3 linked regions of the Stegostoma tigrinum genome follow. The protein of the gene in region 1 purifies or fractionates together with the protein of each later gene. This does not show direct contact. Links are inferred from orthologs where the notes say so. Each region holds a gene or a part of one and is shown in the gene's direction. Other genes may lie near its edges. The genes, in order: serine/threonine-protein kinase PAK 2-like, git2a and git1.

Region 1 (7,727 bases):
CCTGCAAATCTTCTAAGTGACTCTCCTCCTGCTTCCAGTGTAAGTAGGGTTCCCTCCTTAAGCTGACCAGAGTTGTGCTCAATGTGATTTCACTCATGGCCTCTGCAGTTTTAAGACATCCCTACCTGTATTCTCCACTCCTTTTGTAATAAATGCCAACATTCCAAACACTTGCCTCATCAACTTGTTCAGGGATGTAACACCTCTGGAGTGGTGGGATCTGAACCTAGGCCACCTGACTCAGAGGTAGAGATCTACCAATGTGTCACAAGGGTGCCGAAGCCTAAAATCCATTGTGTTCCGAATGACATGCTGCACTTGGTGGCTGATTATTTGTGATATATATAAGAAGTCTGCAGTGTCTCTCTGCCTTAAATAATAGTCTGCTTTTCTATTTCTGCCAAATTGGATGACCTCACATTTTCCCACATTGCATTATATCTGATAATTTCTGACTCCCCATTCTTTGTAGATTTAATTCCCAACTTATCTTTGTATTATCAGCAGAATTGGCTACAAAACAGTCAGTCCCTTTAACAAAGTCACGGACATAGATGGTGAATAGTCAGTTTCTCGTACTGATCCCTGTGGTATTCTGCTAGTTACAGTTTGTCATCATACTAATGACACATTTATCTCAACCACTTTTATCTTCTTAGTTCATTCTCTACACATGCTAAACACCCTGAACACCATGAATGCTTACCTTTTGTGGTTGGCTTTCATGCAGTGATTTTATCAAATGCCTTTCAGAAATCCAAATACACTACAGCTACTAGTTCCCCTTTAAATATGTCGCTTGTTACATTCTTAAAGGACATTACTGCAAATATCAATCAAATTTTTCTTTCACAAAACCATATTTACTCTCCTTGATAGTATTAATTTCAGATTGTCCTTCCACTACCTACTTTGTAGTGAATTGTAGCATTTTCCTAATGCCAGACATTGGAGTAACTAATCTATCATTTCTTTGTCTTTCTCCTTTCTTGGACATAGGTGTATTTTCTGGTTTTCCACTGGGCTGGGTCTGTTCCAGAATCTAGGGAATTTTGGAAGATTACAACCAATGCATTTACCATTTCTCTGTCGCTAGTTTCATTTATTCCACAGAATGCAGACAATCAGATCCAGTGGACTTGTCAGTGTGTTTGATTTCTGTTGCTTTTCCTGTGCTTTTTTGGTGACTGTTTTCTTTCACTTCCTTCATTTTGCTGATTGATTTTCTAATATTCATGGGGTGACTTTTTATCTTTAACCTTGAAGACTATTGACTTTCGCTAACTGTTTGGACATCCTTCTGCCTTTATCCAAAGATTTGTTATGGACCTGCAGTTCTCACTCAAACTGAATCTCAAATTCTTTCATGCCTTATTCACTCCTCTCGAAGGCATCCTTTACTGTAAAGGTCATTAATTTATTCTGTTTCATTCCCAATTGATAAAGTTGTTCCCTTGTAGCTTCCAGTGTGTATTGTCTTTGAAACTATTCCAGGAACACATCCTACAGGCCATCTTTGCCAATTTGATTTCGAAAGTTTTTGTCCACTCACTTACCTGACTAAATCCCTTCGTAGTCTCTTTATGTTCTTTTGACATATTTTCCTACCTAGCTTTGTGTCATCTTTGTCTTTAGCTAATGCCAAATGTTTGGGGTCTTCACACAAACATATCAGGGATTTCCAATTGTTTTGTATGAGGAACTATCTTTCCATTTATCTCTCATACAGGGCCAGCTAACAAATTTTGGGCAGATAAAGTCATAAATACTAAACATGAATTTGAAACAAAATTCCAAAGCAATAATTTGAATAAATTAGTGACTAATAGAAATGATCTCTAAAAAGTGCCGAGTAGCAGAGCTAACTAATAAAACCTTTGTCATTTCAGGTAAGGTCATAAGAACACAAGGTGTAGGGTAGATTCATTCTGCCCATTCAGCCCATTGAGTTCGCTACACTATTTAACAAGATCATGGCTGATCTGATAATCCTCATCTCCAGTTTTCTGCATTTCCCCAAAACCCTTAACTCTCTTTCTGATTAAAACTCAGTATAAAATATCTAAAATATAAAATAAAATTAAATACATACTTAAATATAAGAAAATAGCCTTTAAATACCATGAGGCAGAGATAAGTAGTACTTGAATAGTAAGGCGGTGAAATGTTATGGGTCGGTGGAAATGTACAATTTTCAGATATGTAGCAAGAAAATAAAATGCTAGATTCTATCCACTTTCCTGTATGCATCGGAAACCCAAACAATTAGAAAAATGCATGGGGAGAAAATGGAAACCTTTGAAAGGTGGGTGCAAAGATACATGCTAAAAAGTTCCAAATGCAGACTACAGTCATTAAGAGGTCCTTGAAATCATGAGTGCAAAAAGGAGTCTAAAAATGGCATCCAGAAAACAAAAACTGTTAGTGTTTTGGTATTTGGTCAGAGCTGGAAAGCTGCAGAAATGTCTTTCCTCAGGCAAGGCTGAGAATTGCAGAAATAGCTGTTCAACTAGCTCTAATTAAATGAGGGAAATAACAGAGTGGTTGCTGATGAGCCACAGTTGGATGTGAGGGGAGCACAACATACCACAACAACAACATACCTCCTGGCTGGAAGAGATACCAGCAGCAGCGGGAAGTCAAAATGTAACCTCAAATCAAATTTCAAAACTTACTTTCACCTCTGAAGTGGAGAGTTATGAATGTGAGAATTGGAATTTGTGATAAGGATGGAATGAGAACATTTGTGGAGGGCAATTGTCCAGGATGGGTGTGGTTAATTACGGTCTGAATGTTGGCTGCTGAGATGGAGATTTGAGGAGGTAGTTGGGGAGAAAGGAATGTGTGAAACTGCAAGGTTGGTCCATCAGAGGAGTGCCTGAAGGGATAATTCTGGTAAAGTCAGAGAGCATGTTTGTGTGTGGTAGACCTCCACAGCAAGGCTAAACACTCAATCCTGGTAAGAACCTGTGCATGGAGTCTTTTAACGTGGGGAGGCTTGTGCTGTCGCTAGCACCTGATTCTGGCTGGCCAGGAAACTTGCACATTTATTTTTACCGAATCATAAAGATTTATATATTGATAACCAACCTGCTGGGCCATGTTCTGATGTACTTTCACTGGCCATTAAGGGTTCAGATGGGGCCTGAACTCAGATCTGCCAGCCAGGAGGTAGGGACACCTACCTGGTTGGGTGATGGAAGACGCTGTCAAAGTGGCAACGACAAGAATCTTTCCTGGCCGAAGGAGGTCATGAACACAAACAGGAAGTTCCAACACTGAGATAACAAGGCATAGAGCTGGATGAACACAGCAGGCCAAGTAGCATCAGACGAGCAGGAAAGCTGATGTTTCGGGCCTAGACCCTTCTTCAGAAATGGGGGAGGGGAAGGGGGTCTGAAATAAATAGGGAGAGAGGGGGAGGCGGATAGAAGATGGATAGAGGAGAAGATAGGTGGAGAGGAGACAGACAGGTCAAAGAGGCGGGGATGGAGCCAGTACAGGTGCGTGTAGGTGGGGAGTTAGGGAAGGAATAGGTCAGTCCAGGGAGGATGGACAGGTCAAGGGGGCGGGTTGAGGTTATTGGGTAGGAGATGGGGGTGCGGCTTGAGGTGGGACAAGGGTATAGGTGGGAGGAAGGACAGGTTAGGGACGCGGGGACAAGCTGGGCTTGTTTTGGGATGCAGTAGGGGGAGGGGAGATCTTGAAGCTTGTAAAGTCCACATTGATACCATTGGGTTGCAGGGTTCCCAAGCGGAATATAAGGTGCTGTTCCTGCAACCTTCGGGTGGCACTGCAGGAGGCCCAGGATGGACATGTCATCAGAGGAATGGGAGGAAGAGTTGAAATGGTTCATGTCTGGGAGGTGCAGTTGTTTAGCACGAACTGAGCATAGGTGTTCTGTAAAGCCGTCCCCAAGCCTCCACTTGGTTTCCCCGATTCTGCCACTGTGTTCAGATGCTGAGCACCAGACTCCTGCTGCTGACAGCATCTGCAGCATATAGCCACTGCATCACAAGAGATCAAAGAGTATGGGGAGAAAGCGGGAGCAGAGTACTGAGGGTGATCAGCCATGACCATATTGAATGGCAGGACAGGATTGAAGGGCTCAATGGCCTAATGCTGATCCTATTTTCTTTGTTGGTGGAGCGGGGAGCAGTTGGCCTCTTGCTCCCATCCAGAGGAATGGGCATCTCTCCTCTGGCCCTTGCTGCTTCCAGCATCACCTCCAGGCAAGAGTCAGATAACTCAGGAGGCAGCTTTCCCATGATTTTCTTCCATTTGCATGCATTCTGTAATAATTTGGGTTCCTGGAGCCATTCTGAGGGGAGGGAGGGTCTCTCAATAAGTGAGAATTAATCAGCACCAGCTCCGCCGCCCTCTTCCCTGCTTAGCAACAGAGTCAACGCTGTGTTCCCATGGTAACAGTAACAGCACCGGTGCCTCCCGGAGAAGTCCTCCAGCAGCTCGGAAGACGGGGTTTCTATCCCATCAGGCAGCAGGCCGCCGTGCATGCCGGGAAGTGTAGTCCAGCCTGGTGAGATCCCGGACGCCATTCGGCCTGCTATCCACGTCTCCTCCGAGGCCCTGGACTACAAATCCCGGCGTGAACCGGGGGGAGTCAGTGGCTTGGGGAAGGGAACAAGCGGCCGCGGTGGGAGAAGGAGGAGCCGGTGATTGGGACGGGCCCCTTTCGGTCCTGCCCACTCCCCCACCCCGTCCTCCGACCCTTGCCGCTGTCGCTCCTAGGCCGGGGCCGGGCTTCACTTCCGCTTCCCTCCCTCTCTGTGTGTCCCTGTCCGCCCCGCGGCGGGGGCGGGGGAAAGCCCCCAGGCTGCACGGCCCCTACCGCCGGAGACCCAGCGCTGCAGTCCGGGTGAGTGTAGGCCTCTGCCCGCCCGCTGGCCAGCTACCTCCTTGACCCCTGGACCCGCACCTGCCGCATTTTCAGTTTAAAATCCCTGCCGCTCACGGAGAAACCTGGGGCCAGGGTGGGAAATAGAGGGCCTGGTATCTGGGAGCTGCTTTGGGGAGGTGGGTGGAAGAGGAATTTCCGGTGGGAATGAAGGCGGAGTGAGGGATAGAGGTGGGAATGGTTGGGGGCGAAGGGGGAATAGGGGTTTTGGAAGTGAAAGGGGGTCGGGTGAGAATGGGGGAAATCAGGGGAAGGAGGTGTTGGTGAGGATTCGGGGGAATCTGGCAAGGAGTGCAAAGCGGATTCAGGTGTGGGGTTAAAATTGGGGGAGGGTCAAGGGGGTTAGCGAGGGGTTATGTTCGGATGATGAATGTGGGGTGTTTGTCAAATGGGAGAGAATGAAGCACAGGTGAGTGGGAGGGACTGGGGTTTTTTGAAAGGATGAGGAAGTTTGTGCTTGATGTCTGATTTAGACGTGATGATGTATTTTGAGCTGAGCTGAGGTGGCGGTGAAGGTGTAGGTATTGTGTGGGGGCATCTTTAGGTTAGGGTAAGTATTTTTTTTGTGTGTGGAAGATGAAAATAATGTGTGTGGATTTTAGAACTGGAAGAGGGTCTCCTAAGCAGTGAGGATATTCTGGTGAGCTTTGTGCAGGGGAAGCTGAGTAGGGATCTCAGAATTGGTGACAAATTGTGATGATGTATCTTGACAAGGGAGAGGAATTGAATTAGTTCAGGAGAAAGTATGTGGAAGTCTGGGGAAATCTTGTAATGTATATATTACTGCCTTAGTCTTGGGAAACAATTTTTGAAGTTTAGATATTTATACTTTCAAACCAGAATAGGATCAGTCTCTACCATTTCCTGACGCTCTAGCACTGGGAAACTTTTGAGCGGAAGTGCAACAGTGTAGCGCAACTGCTCATTTCTGAATAAGAAGAGATGGCTATATTAGAGTCTTGTGCTGAAAATTGTGGCAAGCGACCAGAATTCTGTCTCTGAGGGAAGTGGTTAATATGGTACTCCAGAGTTGTCTGTGTGTGTAGTAGATGTGAAATGTTCGTGATATTTAATCAGAATATTGAGTTCATTTGATCTGATTAGTGTAATTTGACACACCGTCTGAAATATTGTCTCTGAAGTACTTGTGTGAATTCAGGAGGTGTTGATTTTATCAAGAAACATTATTTTAATTAAAACTGCAAGATGATTAGGATTTTTCAATAGACAACATGTAAATGCATTCTTTTGAGGCAGACTGACCCCTGTCGGTCTGACAGTCACTGGTACAAAGGTGACATGTTGTATGTAAAGCACTTGACCTGTTAAACAGGACTGTAATTTTGCAGTAGCAGCAGCTGCACTGGTATTGTCACAGATGGAGCAAAGCAGTCAGTTCATGTTCAGTCAAGACTTGAATATTTACTACATTCCAAGCAGGATATACGGGCCTGAACCTGCTCTGTTTTACTTTGGTTTAGTTCCTCAAATTTTCGTAAACTACTTATCAGAATACAAGGATGTGAAAATGAAGGGGCTGAAATCCCCACGTCTACTCCCTTTCATGAAATTGTGTTGAAGTCACATTAGATTGGATAAGACAATGTTTTGTCATATTGAAAGAACGATTTACGTTATGTGACGATAGTGCCTTGCGTACACTTCCAGCCCCAGTGAAAACTTCAAAGGGGCTACTGCTATGAGAAAGACAACATTGATCTCATTGACAACAAAGTGTGAGGCTGGATGAGCACAGCAGGCCAAGCAGCATCTTAGGAACACAAAAGCTGACGTTTCAGGCCTAGACCCTTCATCAGAGAGGGGAATGGGGAGAGGGTTCTGAAATAAATAGGGAGAGAGGGGGAGGCGGACCGAAGATGGATCCCTGAGGTTGGTCCGGTGGGAGGAGGGTAACTTCTTCAGGTTAGGCATCCCTGGAAGAGGCTTTGCAGTGAGGCTAAAATTGTGATCAGAGATAATAGGCCGGAAACATCAGCTTTTGTGCTCCTAAGATGCTGCTTGGCCTGCTGTGTTCATCCAGCTCCACACTTTGTTATCATTGATCTCATTGACCGTTTGTCTTGGTGATGTTGATTGAGACAGCTATTCTCCAGGATGTGTTGAATAGGATCAGTAGAGCTTGGTTTAACGTCTTGTTGGAATATCAATATCCTTGACAGTAAAGTATCCTTGACACTAAAGTAGTGGGACTTGAACTCATGAAGTCCTGGTACAGTGAGAGTTGTGTGGACTGAGCCAAGTTGCTGTTCAAGAATTTTACTTCCAGCACCTTGTTACTTGTATTCATTCTTGTGTTCATCTGTCTTCAATTGTTGCACGGTGTGTTTGGAAGACTCCAGTTTGATAACTGGTTGTCTAAAATGCAAGCAGTGCCTCAGTTAGTGAGCGCACCGCAAGGCCCAGTCCTCGGTCTGCCTGAAATTGTAAACTGTGTGAAGCACAGGTGGCTTTGAGAATTCTCAATTGGATTTTGAGGGAAAATATTTGTGACATTTGTCTGGCTGTGATCTATTCATCCTTTTATTATTTTAAAATTAAACAAAATGTAGTGGATAGATGCCACTTTTAAAATCACAAAGTTGACAGCAAATGTTTGCTGATGGAAATTCTGTTTCTCAGCACTTCTGTGAAAATGCTGCAGTAATGCACCTCTGTGTGCTCAGGTCCTGTAAGCAATGATTTTAACACCACCACTTGCGTTGAGAGAGTTGCCAGTAATGAATGAAACAGCACATCGCTCAACTATTCTTTGTGAAAGTTGGCCTGGAACGGTGATGAATTTTGATAGTGT
Region 2 (7,994 bases), on another chromosome or scaffold:
ATAAACAATCAGCACTCAGTCAGTATGATGCAGCTGGCAAATGTCTAGGAAGGGGCATAACAGTCAGAGGGGAGGTGGCAAGTGCTGGTGTCAACGTTGCATGCAATCATTCTAATGTGGAATGTACAAATATTCTGTATTTTATTGGAGGGGTTTATTTTGGAATCTGTCTCCAGTGACCTCTTCCAGGATATGTGGTAGGAAACTCTCTGAATAAAGATTGATTTGTACTGCTGAACACGGGACTCAAGACTCGTCTCTAACAACTGTTGCAGCAATGTGGGTACTGCAACTATGTGAGTGTCAATTAAGTGAATATGTTTGACATATCACCCTTAACAAACCTCGTAGTTGGCCCCAGCTATAATCTGCAGTATTTAAAAGAATGAAGGGAGAGAAGGGAGTTGTCCTGTGTGAGGCAGATGTTCAACAGACTAGTTCACCCCGGGGATGGTGAAGAGCCCCACAGTTGAACAGGAAGAGGACAGTGACCCTAGTTCATCCTGGGGACAGTAAAACAGTCCCACAGCTGAACAGGGAAAGTGAAATCCACACAGTAGGACACTAGGCAGAAAGTGCTAAAAGCATTGCAAGGTAGAACATAGGAGTGCGCACAGGGAACTAAGGAGGGCAAGAAGGGAAGAAACCTTGCATCACTTTAAAGCTGGCTAATGAGTCAGGGGCAGGCTCTGAGCAAAATATTCAAGAAGGAGAAAGGAGAGCAGGCTACTGCCCCCACCACTTTAGCAAGACCAAAACATTTGTCAGCAGCCTGTTTTCTTTATCAGTCATTGTCATGGTTGTATATTTTCTTTAGTTACATAGATAACGTATCACAATAGCAATTGTTTAATTGGCTTTAAGTTTGGCAAACTGTGAGAAGCAGCAGTTTTTAAAATCAAAGTTCTCATTTTAGACTGGGAAATCTTTAACTTTTTTTGTGGCTTTCTGTTGGCCTTTAAAGAAAAGTAAGATAGATGATGAGAGTAAACTAGCTCAGAATATAAAAACAGGCAGCAAAAGTTTCTATAAATATGTAAATCGTAAAAGAGAGGATGAGAAGGACAATTTACTAACTGGGAATGAGGAAATAGCCGAGACATTAAACAGTTATTTTGTGTCAGTCTTCACAGTGGAAGACACAAATAACATGCCGAAAACTAATGGCAAGAAGGTTACAGCAGGTAAGGACCTAGAAACTATTATCAGTCAGGAGGCAATGCTGGGCAAGCTAATGGGGCTAAAGGTAGGCAAGTCTCTTGGCCCTGATAAACAGGTGATGGGGAAATAGCAAATGCACTCATAATTATTTACCAAAATTCACTGGGCTCTGTGGTAGTTCCCGCAGCCAATGTGATGCCACTGTTTAAAAAGGAAGTAGACAAATAACCGGTAACTTTAGGCCAGTTAGCTTAGCTTCGGTCGTGGGGAAAATGCTTGAATCTATCACTAAGGAAGAAATAGTGAGACATCTGGCTATAAATTGTCGCATTGGGAACACCCAGCGTGGGTTCATGAAGGGTAGGTCATGTTTAACTAATTTGGTGGAAATCTTTGAGGACATTACTTGCATGGTGGACAATGGGGAACCTGTGGATGTGGTGTATCTGGATTTCCAGAAGGCATTGACAAGGTGCCACACCAAAGGCTGCTACATAAGATAAAGTTGCATGGAATTACAGGTAATGTATCGGCATGGAGAGAGGCTTGGTTGACCGACCAATAGAACGCAGAGTCAGGGTAAATGAGTGTTTTTCTGGTTGGCGGTGGTGGCTAGTGGTGTGCCTCAGGGATCAGTGTTGGCACCTCAATTGTTTACAACTTACATAGATGATTTGGAGTTGGTGACTAAGTGTGGTGTGTCAAAATTTGCAGATGCCACTAAAGTGAGTGGTAGAGAAAAGTGTGCAGAAGACAGTCTACAGAGGGATATGGATAGTCGAAGTGAGGGGGCAAAGGTCTGGCAGATGGAGTACAATGTTTATAAGTGTGAGGTCATCCATTTTGGTAAGAATAACAGCAAAATGGGCTACTTTTTAAATGGTAAAAAATTGCAGCACGCTGCTGTGCACAGGGACTTGGGTGTCCTTGTGCATAAATCGCTGTAGGTGGGATTGCAGGTGCAGCAGGTGATTAAAAAGGCAAATGGAATTTTGTCTGGTCATTGCTCAAGGGATGGAGTTTAAAAACAGAGGCTATGCTGCAGCTGTATAGGGTCCTGGTGAGGCCACAACTGGAGTACTGTGTGCAGTTTTGGTCTCCTTACTCGAGAAGGGATATACTAGCACTGGAGGGGGTGCAGAGGAGATTCCCTTGGTTGATTCCAGAGTTGAGGGGGTTGGATTATGTGGAAAGACTGAGTAGACTGGGATTATACTCAGTGGAATTCAGAAGAACGAGGGGCGATCTTATAGAAACATATAAGATTATGAAGGGAATAGATATAAGTGGAGGCAGGGAGGTTGTTTCTGCTAGCAGGTGAAACTAGGACTGGAGGGCATCGCCTCAAAATAAAGGGAAGCAGATGTAGGACTGAGGTCAGGAGGAACTTCTTCACCCAAAGGGTTGTGAATCTGTGGAATTCCCTGCCCAGTGAAGTGGTTGAAGCCACCTTGCTGAATGCTTTTCAGGCAAGGCTAGATAAAATTTTGAAATGTAAAGGAATTAAGGGTCATGGTGAGTGGGCAGGTAAGTAGAGCTGAGTCTCAAAGATCAGCCATGATCTTATTAAATGGCAGGGCATGCTTGAGGGGCCAGATGGTCTACTCCTGATTCTAGTTCTTATGCCAATGGCATGTTTGAAATTTAATATATCTGGCAAATGAACCAAAGGAGATTTAAAGTTTTTTACTAAATGCAACAAGTTGTAATAATCCATGGCACACTGCTTGAAAGGATGGTGGAAGAGATTCAAAAGTAACTTTCCAAAAAGAATTGAAGGAGGAAAAATAACGTTGCAGGAATGCCGATGACATCCAGGGTACTAAAACATTAAAAGCTCTTTCAGGAAGCTGGCAAGGGTGTGATGGTGAAACAGCCTCCCCCTATGCCGTATAATTCTCAACTAAAGGTTGAAGTTGTCAGTGCCTTCTGATAGAGCTGGGGAAAAATGGTGAAACCAAAAAAGTATATTCTCCTTCAGTGCCTTCACTGCAAATTTGGACTGATTCCTCAACCCTCCAGTTATTGAAAGGGCCAAGGAAAGTTAGAATGGGGAAAATTTGTGGGAAACAAAACAATCGTGCAAATGCAGATTTGACCCCTTAAGTGTTGATTTCCCCCCCACCGCCACCAAGAAAGGAAATACACATTCCCTAGCTTTTACTCTGCCTAAATTAGGAAAAAATGTATCATTTAATGTTTTTGTATATTGTCATAATAAAATAATCTTTAATAAGACAATATACAGAAGTACCAATTGCACACATTTAAAAAGAAATTATACTTGCAAACTCTGCCATCTGTTTCAGTAACAAATAGGTGTCACATTATAATATAGTAGAACTAATTATAAATGTCAGTCCTCATGGTGAAGGGAACTTACAACTTTAGTGACTGTTCTTCCTTCCCACTTCACTCTGACCATTGTAAAGTATATATAAAGCATAAAAATTATAAAGATTTATTTAGTGACAAGATAATGCAATGTAAATTGAGTAAAGGTAATTCAAACTATCAAGTTTGCTCCTCTCTCGAACAGTGCATCATCTTTCCTGTTGTGAAAAAAACTATATTTTATATTAAATCAAGACAAGGGTAACTGTCGGTCTCACATATCAACTAATCATCTCCAATCTTGAAATCAGATATTGAAAAATTCCAATCCAACTTAAACAATTTAACTTGAGGAAACAGTAGTTCTTTCAGTTTTGCCTTGAGTTTTTTTGCACTTATGGTAGCCTCAAAAGATTCCAACTAAATAATGTTTAAAATTAACTGTGTGAATACCTTGGAACATTTACAACACGCCCTATTTCAACCATTTAACTAAACTGAAAGGGGAAACACGTTGCTTTGGAACTAGTGAAGATTTTGGATTCTTTCGGCTGAAGAAAATTAGATCTTCAAAGCAGTAACAGACTTTAAATATCTTCACCTATAAACATCATCTCAGGGAAGCTCTCCACCACCTACTGTGAAGTTTAAACCGTTTCTAAGCGCAATCATACGCTGAATAAAACCTTGCCCAGTATCAGTGACTTACTTGTTTCAGTTCTTCCTCAACTTCTCTATACTGGTTGCGCCAGACCAACAGGTGAAGTTTATATTTGTTCTTGACGTCTTCCAATGAACACATCCTAGTTCTTCAGCTTCAATCGACCTCCGCCCTTTCCTCTATAAACCCCTCCCTCTAAAGTGAAAAGAGGACAGCGGGAGGGTGAGGAGAGAAAACAACAGAACTTCTGAAACTTTCCAAAAAAACTTTACAGGAAGAGATGGACAACAAGGAAATACAATCCATCCAGCCTAGAGGAGGGGTCTATAATAAGCACACTAGCACCCTTTTCAATAAATGTCGGCATATTTGCTGATCTGTATGCTTATAAGAGTGATATAGTGAAATTATTACTTGTCGAACGACTTGATGCTTTGCTTCACTTTTTTCCACTATCAACCATTTTCGACACTACAGGAACCCCCCTCCTCTTCCCTTTAATTGTGGTTCAGCCCAAACTAAAGTATCGAGTGGATCGGCAGGTAAACACTAGCTGATTACTTTCTCGGCTCACGAATAAAGTGACAGGTCTACATGTTCCATTCAACATGATGTCGCATTTGGTAACATTAAAAAATATTTTGCAAGGGGGAAAAGTAATGTGTGAAAAGTTTCTGTTCAGGAAACCACATTTTTATAACTTCAGCTTTCCCCCCCTCGCGCTCCTCGTCTTCCGACGCCTGCGTTTGGTTTGGCTTGTATACGCATGCGTGACGCCCGGGCAGTCCTCCAAGATCCCGGCATACCATTCGACGTCTCCAAGCTGCTTGAGCCAGAGGCGAGTCTGACAGGAACTGTAACCTGAGTGCAAACTTCATGTTGACGGCAGTTTGTAGTTAGAATTAAAACGCGTCTCCCGTTAAATTTTAGCGTGTGTCGTGTGATTTTTGTTTTTATTTAAGATCCCGATTAAACGGCATTATTAGTTAACTGCCTCTGTCCATGTCGAAAAGATTGAGGAGTAACGACATCTGCGCCGACTGCAGCGTCCCCGGTAAGTGATTGTGGGGGAGGTAAAGGTCTGGGGGCAAAAGAAGGGCCCTTTAGAAATGCTTTTTGTTTAAAAATGCTGAGACTTATCGTGCTGCTAACTGGGACTGGGAGAGGAAATTCAAACAAGCTTCAGTTCTGTCTGACACACGCGCACAGACACGGAGGAAGTGAGAGAGAGCTAAAAGATGCAGAAACGCTGCAAGCCAACTAGGACGCAGCCAGGAAATATCCAGCAACCGGTTTGTGTTCTTTCATTCCACTCCCTTCAACCGTGCTCTTCCTTTCTCTTTATAAAAAAAGCAGCACATTTTCAGCATAAAAATCATTCGTAGCACCCACTTCCTCAAACTTGTGGCCTCTATCCCGTCTGCACAATTCAAGTTTTAGTTTGTTAACCAATTTTTTATATTAAAGCTGTGGGTTCTAATCTTTCATAGACTGATTAGTATGCCGTATTACTGTTTGCTTGTCGGAGTTAATACAGTTTACTGTATGCATCCACTTGTAGATTTTGTGCATATCTCTTCTGTTATTCACTTGCTCATTTGTACTTATTTTTCTGTAAACTTGACAATTCTTTTTCTTCTGTAGTTGGTGTTTTTTTTGGTGGGTGAGGATTCCTCTAAATGGAGCAGCATTTACAGTGATCCCTTGTACAATGGCTGCTTCAATGTTTCTTTGTACATGGAGTAATTTTTTATGAGTTAGAAATTCAACAATTTATTTTGTAGTGATGTAATTTTCATTATAATAGGGTACAGCATTTTTTTCCTCAGCAATTGCAGTGTAATTTTTGTGCTGGTAGTATGTTAACTTGTGATAGCTTTGTCAAGACTTTACAATTACAGAACTTAATATTGTAACTTGTAGAGAGCAGCTAATATTTTGCAATTGCTTTTAGGTCTATAATGATGCATAGCATTGAGTAATAAGGTAGAATATGGAAGAATTGTTGCACGCTGAATTTTAGAAGTAATTTTCTTTGCTCCCTGCTGCAAACTGTTCCCTAGTTTACAGACTCCATATCTCCTTGAAAACTACGTGAGCCTCTGTGTCATATTTGACTCCAAGATGAGCTTTAAATATTTTTCCACCACCTTGCTAAGAATGAGTTTGCACTTCCAAAACATTGCTAGGTTTGTTCCTGTTTTTATTTAAATACTTCTGAGACCCTTGTATGCCCTTGTTAACTGAAGACTGGTCTGTTCAAATGCATTTCTGCCTCCTATATTGTACACCCCCCTAAACTCAAGTTTATCTAAAACTCTGCTGCCCAAGGTTCTTACTCCTGTTTGGGTCCTGTTTAACGATCACATCTATGTTTGCTGACCTACAATGTTTCCCAGTCAAGCAACATTTCAATTTTAAATTTTTTATCCTTGTCTTTGCCCATCTATATCTGTCTAATGCCCTTCTGATGCACAGCCCTCCATGAAGACTGCATTCATTTTATTTTCTCCTCAAGCATCTTCAATTTTAATTGCTGCGCCATTATTGACTCTGCTTTCCTTTACTAAGGCACTTAAGTTTTCAAATTCCTTCCCAAATCTTGCTTCTATTTCTTTCTCCTTGAAGGTGGCCTGCAAAGTCTATCTCTTTGACCAAGCTATTCACTAGCTGCCCTAGTACTACGTCTGGTCAAATTTTGTTGTGAAGCACCATGGGACCTTTTATTACATTAAATGCAATATGTAAGTGCAGATTGTTGTTCTATGATATGGCCATGCCAGATCTCCAAGTAAAGTATGCTCTGAATGTTGGAAATGTGAAATGACAGAAGCTGAAAAAGCATGCCAGCCCAGCCAGCAGCTGAAGGAGAAAGATGAATCGATGAAGATCTTATCAATAACAATGTGTTATATTTTATGTGGTTATTATTTTTAAATGTACTTCTGTTTTTCTTATGTTTATGTGACTTACATTTGAATTGTTAATCTACACTAACCAAAGGAGAGAGATTGATTTTACCTTCTAAGTTTCAGTTGAAAGTGTATGCAACACGTTTTCATGTGAAATCAGTGCATTCGGCTAAACGTCTTTACAATTGGTCAGTGCGTTGAGATTAGGAGTTGGGATGTCATGTTGCGGCTGTACAGGACATTGCTTAGGCCACTTCTGGAATACTGCATTCAGTTCTGGTCTCCTTGCTATAGGAAGGATTTTGTATAACTTGAAAGGGTTCAGAAAAGATTTACAAGGATATTGCCAGGCATGGACGGTTTGAACTGTTGGGGGAGGCTGAATAGGCTGGGGCTATTTTCCTGGGAGCATCAGAGACTGAGAAGTGACCTTATAGAGGTTTGTAAAATCATGAGGGGCATGGATAGGTTGAATAGTCAAGGTCTTTTCCCTGGGGCAGGGGAGTCCAAAACTAGAGGGCATAGGTTTAAGGTGAAAGGGGAAAGACTTAAAAGGTCCTAAGGGGCAGCTTTTCCACACAGATAATGGTGCATACATGGAATGACCTGTCAGAGGAAGTGGTGGAGGCAGGTACAGTTACAACTTCTAAGAGGCATCAGGATAGTTATATAAATAGGATGGATTTAGAGGGATATGGGCCAAGTGCCTGCAAATGGGAACAGATTCATTTAGGATATCTGGACGGCATGGCCGAGTTGGACATGCTGTACAGCTTTATGATCATAGTCATTTGTAACCTTTCTGAAAGTCTCCTGAAAACTGCTCTTTTATGATTGTATTGCTTATTGCCTCCCTATTAACTGTCCCAATGTCCATAGATACCTTATAGTGTTTATCTTTAATTCTTTAAAACTAAACTCTACAT
Region 3 (6,964 bases), on another chromosome or scaffold:
AACAAAGTTTGTGAACCAAGTCCATCGTCTCCTCCCGTTCAGGCAGTATCTGCAATCCCACAGAAGTATCAGCTCCATGTTCCTGCTGCTAATCGATTATCTTGTCTGCGTGATACATTTGTTACAATTATCGGCCAAATGGGGGCTATATGGACAGGGGCTGGCTGGATTATTGATAGACACCCCGATCTAACTTGGGCTTCAATGGTAAGGAACTGGCCGCTGTTTGCCCCTCTTTTTCTGTTTTTTTTACAGCAGAAACCGCGATTTGGAACATATTTTGCAATGCTACACAAGCTCACACGCGTCGTACAAGAACGCTGATGCAAACTGATTGAGGTAGACCCCCGTTTTCAGGGAGATAGACGAAACCATCACGGTGTTGTGGCTGTTTCAGATCGGACCCGGTCATCGCCAGCCGTGAGAAATTCAGAATCCCGCCACAAACCACCCCCGCCCCCAACCTCATCTCGAACTCTGCATTCTCACTCCATTTACCGGAGGCTTTGTACACCCAATTCCTAACATAATCGTTCCCAACTCTGTCCTAGTAATTGCTTGCAGTATTTCAGACTTTGTGCATTCTCGGAATACACTGAGCGTCCTCTAGTTCCTGCATATAGCTAAAGCCCCATTCAGTGACACCGTGTGCCAGCGGCTTTTCTCCCAGTTCTATAAAGGATGCGTGAAACGTGTTTTGCTCCGTTTGCTGCATTTCCGGTCCAGAGTCATGTTGACCTCCTGTATTTTCACCTGTCAGTTGCGGATTGTGGCGGGAGGCCAGGCCAGCAAGAGGGTCGGTGTGTGCTACTTCCACTTTACCGTCACAGTTGCCCTTACAAGTTGCAACAGAACGGGTCGGAAGAATGCGGAGATGCATTTGCTGCACATCACAAGCAGCGGAGCCCTTCCAAAGGCTTCGGCTACTTTTAGGGTGGGGTGATTTGGTCTTTTCCAAAAAGGGTAAAAACAGTTTTGTTTTATTGATTCCCAAATGGTAGCCAGTTACTACCGTGCCCACAGCTCCAATATGATCACAAGGGAATGTCAGTTGCATTCAGCACCTTAGCATGAGAACAGTTTCCTGGTCACGAAGGCTGTATTTTGTGCTGTAACCGTTTACTCAGACTCCGCCTCGGTGTAAATCGGAACTCGCTCAAGAGAGATGGAATAGTTCTGCGCCTGATTTCAACAATTCAAGTTCAAGTAAAAACCAACTTCTAAACGGGAAGGAAGACCAGTATTGTGTCTTGTGACTCCCAATCTTACCGTTTCTGGCACAAACGTAAAATACTGGAAATGCGAAGTGAGCACGGGAAAAAAACTGGAAAATCTCAGCGGGTAAGGCAGCCTTTGGAGACAAACAGTGACCCTTTCAGGTCGATGACCTTTCACCAAAATTCTGGAGAGGGCCGTGTTAATTCCGCTGCACGGAGGCTGCCTGACCTGTTTAGTTTCTGATTACTGATCACCCATCACCCAAAAATTGGAACTTACAGCACAAACCGAACAATGTGCTTATTCACATAGGTTTTGTGAACTCACTGCATCCAGTCTTTTTTTTAAATGTATAAAATCTGAGCTGAGTCTGCATATGGGGACGGACAATTCTGGTTAAAGAGGTTCGGTTTATATTACTGACTTTATCTCGCTAACATCTGTCGAATATTCTTTATTGCTTTTTCTAACAATTATTTGACATGGCGGTTGAATAAAATAATGTGATACTGACATTTTAATGAATACACTAATTTCCCTGTTGCTTTTCATTTCTACACCACGTAACAAATTTCCACTGTCTCAAAAATCAATCAGATTGGTTTGACATAGAGACCATGCTTGGAAAAGCGATGTTTCAGTGTGCCGGGCGCGGAATGGTTGGCGCCTGTGTGATTAACTGTGCATTCAGCTCTTTAAAGCGTGCAGCCACAGAGATGACAGTCCCATCCTTTTTTCTGGCCTCTTGTATCAAGTGTCGGTCGGAGCCATTGTACACCGGAGAAACTATGCTAAAACGACATCCAGACTCGAAAGGTTTCTTACAATTCATCAAACATCGTTTGATTCTAGCCGGAAAGCTACATCAGACAGCACGACAGAACCTTGAACGATATTTATCAATTTGATAGGAAACAGGTGCAACCCTACGAAAATATTTTTTGTATCTGCACAGTTTGGAACTAAATTGAAATTCCAGATCTTCTCAAAAGAAGTTTATGTGAGATAATTAAACCAGGGTCTTTTAGTTTGCGGTTTATTTTGAACCCAATCTGTGAGCTTGTAGTTGCCTTACTTCCACAGAACATTTATTTTGACAGACCAACATGCTTTTCTTTTCATACATACACACACACACACAATATGGCAACTTCCTTTTGGAGACCGACTGATATTGGAACCCATTTCAGGATTTCGTTTTGGGTGTTAAAATGGGCATCAGGATTTACGGGAATATTTTAAAGCACTTGGCATAATCTTCTTTCCACTACAGAACACATATGGTTCCCGTATTACTATGGATGCCTCATTTCCATATAAGATAGTAAGCGGAGAATAGTAACCACACATTTCGTCTTTAAGTGACCGAAGAAAATAAAGACTAAAAGTCAATATATAATGAAAACTTCGCGATCATGATTTTTAATCCTTATTGGAAGAAGCATATTTAAACAATACATAACCCAACGAAGGAATCAGCTAATTGTACGGCACTAGCACAATTCCATCCAACCTAATGCACGAAAACGGATATGGTCACAATTCGGATCCAAGAATATTTTTAATGTAGAAAAAAATAGATTATCTCCAATTCTTCCGACTGACAGCATTTAATTTCCGATTTATAATTAAACAGCGACTTGTCTATGTTCCTGCATCTGATAGCATTTAGTCAATTCCACTTGCATTGCACCACCCCATAAATACACATACACACACACATCACCCACCTGCTTGGTGCTAAGTTCCTTTTCCAGATCCTTGTATCTATTATGCCAAACCAAATAATGCAACGGATATTTTTCTGCCACCCTTCTCGCAGAAATCATTCTGATATCATTCTTCTCTTCCAGATAACATGCAAACTACCTTTGCAGCAGATAGTCAAACCCCTGGCAACAGGCACCAATCCCTATATTGCTCGGCAGCTGAATATCGGACGATAGGAAGCGCTGTAATTCTTGCTTTAACTGTGTGGGAAAAGAGGAAGTAGGAGAAAATCGAAGGGTGAGGAATTACCAAGTTACTGTGGGGGAAATATGCAGGTTGAAAATACGTATGGAGCGTAGATTTCAAATAATATAAAGAAAATCTACAACGTGGCCAATTAGCATGTACTACTGATTTTTTTCCGTTCATCATGAGTACCAATTAGTGAGAAAATGCAGTAGTTGCGCATTTAAATTTATTACCAACCCCATTATCTATAATATTGGAGATGCGCTGTTTTAAAACCTCCTGGGAGCTGTAGTTCGTCCGTTGAGGTGATAAATATTAGTGGGAATTTGCAATTTAAAATGAGCTACATGTTTTTGACCAATTCCGGGGAAATAATTTTAATATGTATGAATATGGGTAGGCAACTGAAAGTGCTCCGTTCTGGGCAATGACATCACCCTCGCACCAGCTAACCGGCGAGAACTACAAATCCCAGCACACCTTGAGGCGGGTTACCGCCTCCACGTCCCGCCTCCTGTTGGTGCTCGTTCCTTCGCCCAGTGTCTACCAAACTTAGCGGCTGATGAGGGCTGATTGGCCTGCGGTGACGTAATTGGGAAGCAGCGGCTTGTCTATTGGGCAAGCCTGCTGCCAGTCAGGTGACGGCGCTGGGAATCCCACCAGCAGCAGGTTGGGCTGCGCTGCGCGGGCCGGGTCTTGTCGTCATTTCCTGGTTGCTCTGGGAATGGGGGCGGGCGGGGGAAAGCTGCGGTTTTCCAGTAACTTGTCTCGAACCGGATGCGTCTGCGCTAAACACACTGGCCCTGAGAGATTTGGAGACCTGGCGGTGTCGGAGGAGGGGCTGGAGAGGTAGCGGGGTTTGGGGTAAGGGGAGGAGGTGAGCGCTGGGAATAAATTAGCAGAGACCGGGAGAATCATCATCATCATCATCGAGGAGAGCAGAAATGTCCCGAAAGCTGCGGCCCAACGAAGTGTGCGCCGACTGCAGCGCGTCAGGTACGTGACTCGGTGAATGGGGATGAGAAAGAGAGTGGTGGTCAATTCGGGAGCCCGGGGAATCAGCCCGAACCCCTTCCCCACCCCCCCACCAACCCCCTCCCCATTTGCTTCTACAGGACGACGGGGTCCGTGGGGCAATACGGTTTGGGGGTGTTAGGGAGGAGGTGGTGGTTGCTCTGATTTGGGGCCTGTCAGGTCAGTCGGTCGGTCAGCGGTCGGCAGTCAGCACCCAATCCCTGGCACCGGTTGCCAGGCGGTGGGTTTTCGGTCAGCCATTTGTGCCGGGGATTGGAAACTGAACTGAGAATCCTGTGTCGTTACATGTGGAGAGGATGGTCCATTTCGGCTTGGGCTGCGTGTGTGTGTGTGTGTGTGTGTGCGCGCGCGCGCGTGTGTGCTTGCCTCTTCCTTCCCAAGTGTTTAGTGGCCACTTGTGAAAGTCTTGTTTGGAAACGTCAAGTTCCCGGTTGCAGTATTGGCTATTGTCCCAAGGCTGACCAGTGATAAACCGGACACAGTAACCGGTTTGATGAACTCGCGATGCCATCCCTAAGAAACCAGTGATTCTTTGTGATCGAATTGCTGTATGCAACGACTTTGATTCTACTCTACTGAGAGTCTTAATTGATGTGTAAAACTTTTCATTGGTATCTGATTTATTGATTCAAAACGATCTGACCCGAAAACTTAGCCATCTGTTTCACTTTTCATTTGAGGTGGATTTCTAATTATTCGCATATAGATCAAAAATAGGATTCGGTCCATTTTGAAGTGTTCTATTTTGCGATATTCACTGAGTTACATAACAGCGGAGGCACAATTGCAAGTTGATTGTCTGCCAGCTGAGCTGTGATTTAAGTTTGTAGGAGATATCAGATCTAATTTGGCACACATCAAATCTGTTGGAGTGAGCTGTATACTTTTAAAAGGGAGTTTGCAGTAATTGTGATTATGCCAATTGAATATTATGTTTATCTTTAGCTATAATTCAAAATTTGAAGTTTACACAATATAATAGATTATAAATCATGTTGGCTTTCTCATGACACATGTTTGAATTCTGAAGTTTTATGGTAATTTTGACAGTTGAATGTTATTTCTGTTTTCTTTTAACCCTGTAAAAATGAAATCAACTCACTTATTTCTTGAGGTTATTTGTGTTTGGTATCATCTCTGTGCATATTTGGTATTCAAAAATAAACTACACACTTGAATGGTCTTGCTGTCAACCATCATGTTAATCTAGCGCTAAGAAGAGGGTCCAGTGTTGCGCATGTTCCTATCCAAGGTGCTGCCCCAGTAGTTGACTGCAGTGGATAGGGGAAATTATGCAGTTGGGACTACTTAGTACAGTTGTAAAATAGTGAATTTGTGAAAAGCCGAAAGGAGAGCTTATGATGTAGGTTTATAAGATCTCTTTTTTTAAAAAACTTGTTATTGATGGCGTGACATCTACTGCTTTGAGCTTTGTATGCTGGTCTTATGCATCTTTTAACTATTTTTACAGTTTTTAAAGTCAGAGTAATTATGAACAATAATGTGCGATGTTCTGTTAATGCATTTTTAAAATTAAAGCTTATGTCAAGTTTTCTATTAATTCCAAGCACTCACTGCACATCCTGAGACTGTCTTTTGTGTTTTTAAGTTGAGATGTGTGATTTGAAAACATTTGCTATGGAAAATATTGTTACATATTGTCCTGTTTTATATGTAAATTATTTGTATTTGAGTGACTTTTTGATGGAAGATGGGAGCACTTACAACTAAATGTTGGGGATGTGGAGGAAGAAAGTTTTTTGATTATTCATGTTATAGACAATTGGAGTGGATGGGAGAATCGTTAGTAATATTCCATTTTGGAGTTCTGTCACGCATCAAACAGAGGAAATTAACATAAATTTATCAAAATATTTTTAAACATCTCGAAATCAAAACCATTGTCTCCAAGAAGGGCGAGAAATTCAGATATCCTCCAGGCCAAGTGTGTGTGTTAAGCAAGAGATGTAGTTGCACACCTACACAAATATTTGGAGTTGAAAAGGACATAGCTGTAAGCAGTGTGGATTACATCAAACACTGGGGAGGAAAGTGTAACCAGAGCATTTAGCCCATCAAGTCCACACTGACCCTCTGAAGAGATTATACTAGCTGTGGGCTATTAAAGTTTATTTCCAAATATCATTAAAATGTCTTGTTTCCTAACAACTAGTTTATACATCTTACACTTTTTAATCATAGAATCCATACAGTGCCAAAAAAGGCCATTCAGCCCATTGAATCTACACTGACCCTCCAAAAAGCATCCCACCAACCTATTTCCATAACTCCACATTTACCAGGGCAAATCCACCTAGCCCAAACATCCCTCGACACTGCAGACAATTTATAATATCATATAATACAATACAATAACCTCTGAGCCATTGCACTATCTGGAATAACATAGATTTGAACACATGATCCAGTGAAGCATTTCCAGTTGGGCAATTGCAAGCCGTTGTCTCATTACTTGTAGTCATATTATGAAAAATAAACCTGGCTTTCAGGAAAAAGAAATGAAGCCCAAGTCCTTATTGTTGGAGAATTTCATCTGTTGATTCACTGGTCGCTTAAACCTTTGATCAAAAGTGTAATGAATTATAGGCCTCCATTCTGTGAAGTATACTTAAAATCTTAATTTTATAATGTGGGTTACTTGCCCAATTAAGTCTGTACTGATTACTCTTGCTATTTAAACGACTTGGTCTAATTTCCACATCTACTTCCTCATGCATCTTTTATTATTTTC

Evidence for each region.
Region 2: the proteins of serine/threonine-protein kinase PAK 2-like (region 1) and git2a purify together in Homo sapiens (affinity purification with mass spectrometry; 3 studies listed by BioGRID and IntAct, with this or other methods). This does not show direct contact. The link is inferred for Stegostoma tigrinum from reciprocal best matches to the Homo sapiens genes PAK2 and GIT2.
Region 3: the proteins of serine/threonine-protein kinase PAK 2-like (region 1) and git1 purify together in Homo sapiens (affinity purification with mass spectrometry; 5 studies listed by BioGRID and IntAct, with this or other methods). This does not show direct contact. The link is inferred for Stegostoma tigrinum from reciprocal best matches to the Homo sapiens genes PAK2 and GIT1.

What each region holds. Positions count from the first base shown.
Region 1 is NC_081367.1:6,528,732-6,536,458, forward strand, and holds the start of serine/threonine-protein kinase PAK 2-like, read left to right. Parts: upstream 1-4,656; 5' UTR 4,657-4,876; intron 4,877-7,727. UniProt on the Homo sapiens protein: Serine/threonine protein kinase that plays a role in a variety of different signaling pathways including cytoskeleton regulation, cell motility, cell cycle progression, apoptosis or proliferation.
Region 2 is NC_081379.1:12,955,002-12,962,995, reverse strand, and holds the start of git2a (ARF GTPase-activating protein GIT2a), read left to right. Parts: upstream 1-4,951; 5' UTR 4,952-5,158; coding exon 5,159-5,210; intron 5,211-7,994. Other genes in the region: ankrd13a (ankyrin repeat domain-containing protein 13A), read right to left, coding at 4,205-4,297. UniProt on the Homo sapiens protein: GTPase-activating protein for ADP ribosylation factor family members, including ARF1.
Region 3 is NC_081380.1:31,329,660-31,336,623, forward strand, and holds the start of git1 (ARF GTPase-activating protein GIT1), read left to right. Parts: upstream 1-3,950; 5' UTR 3,951-4,121; coding exon 4,122-4,173; intron 4,174-6,964. Other genes in the region: ankrd13b (ankyrin repeat domain-containing protein 13B), read right to left, coding at 2,949-3,047. UniProt on the Homo sapiens protein: GTPase-activating protein for ADP ribosylation factor family members, including ARF1.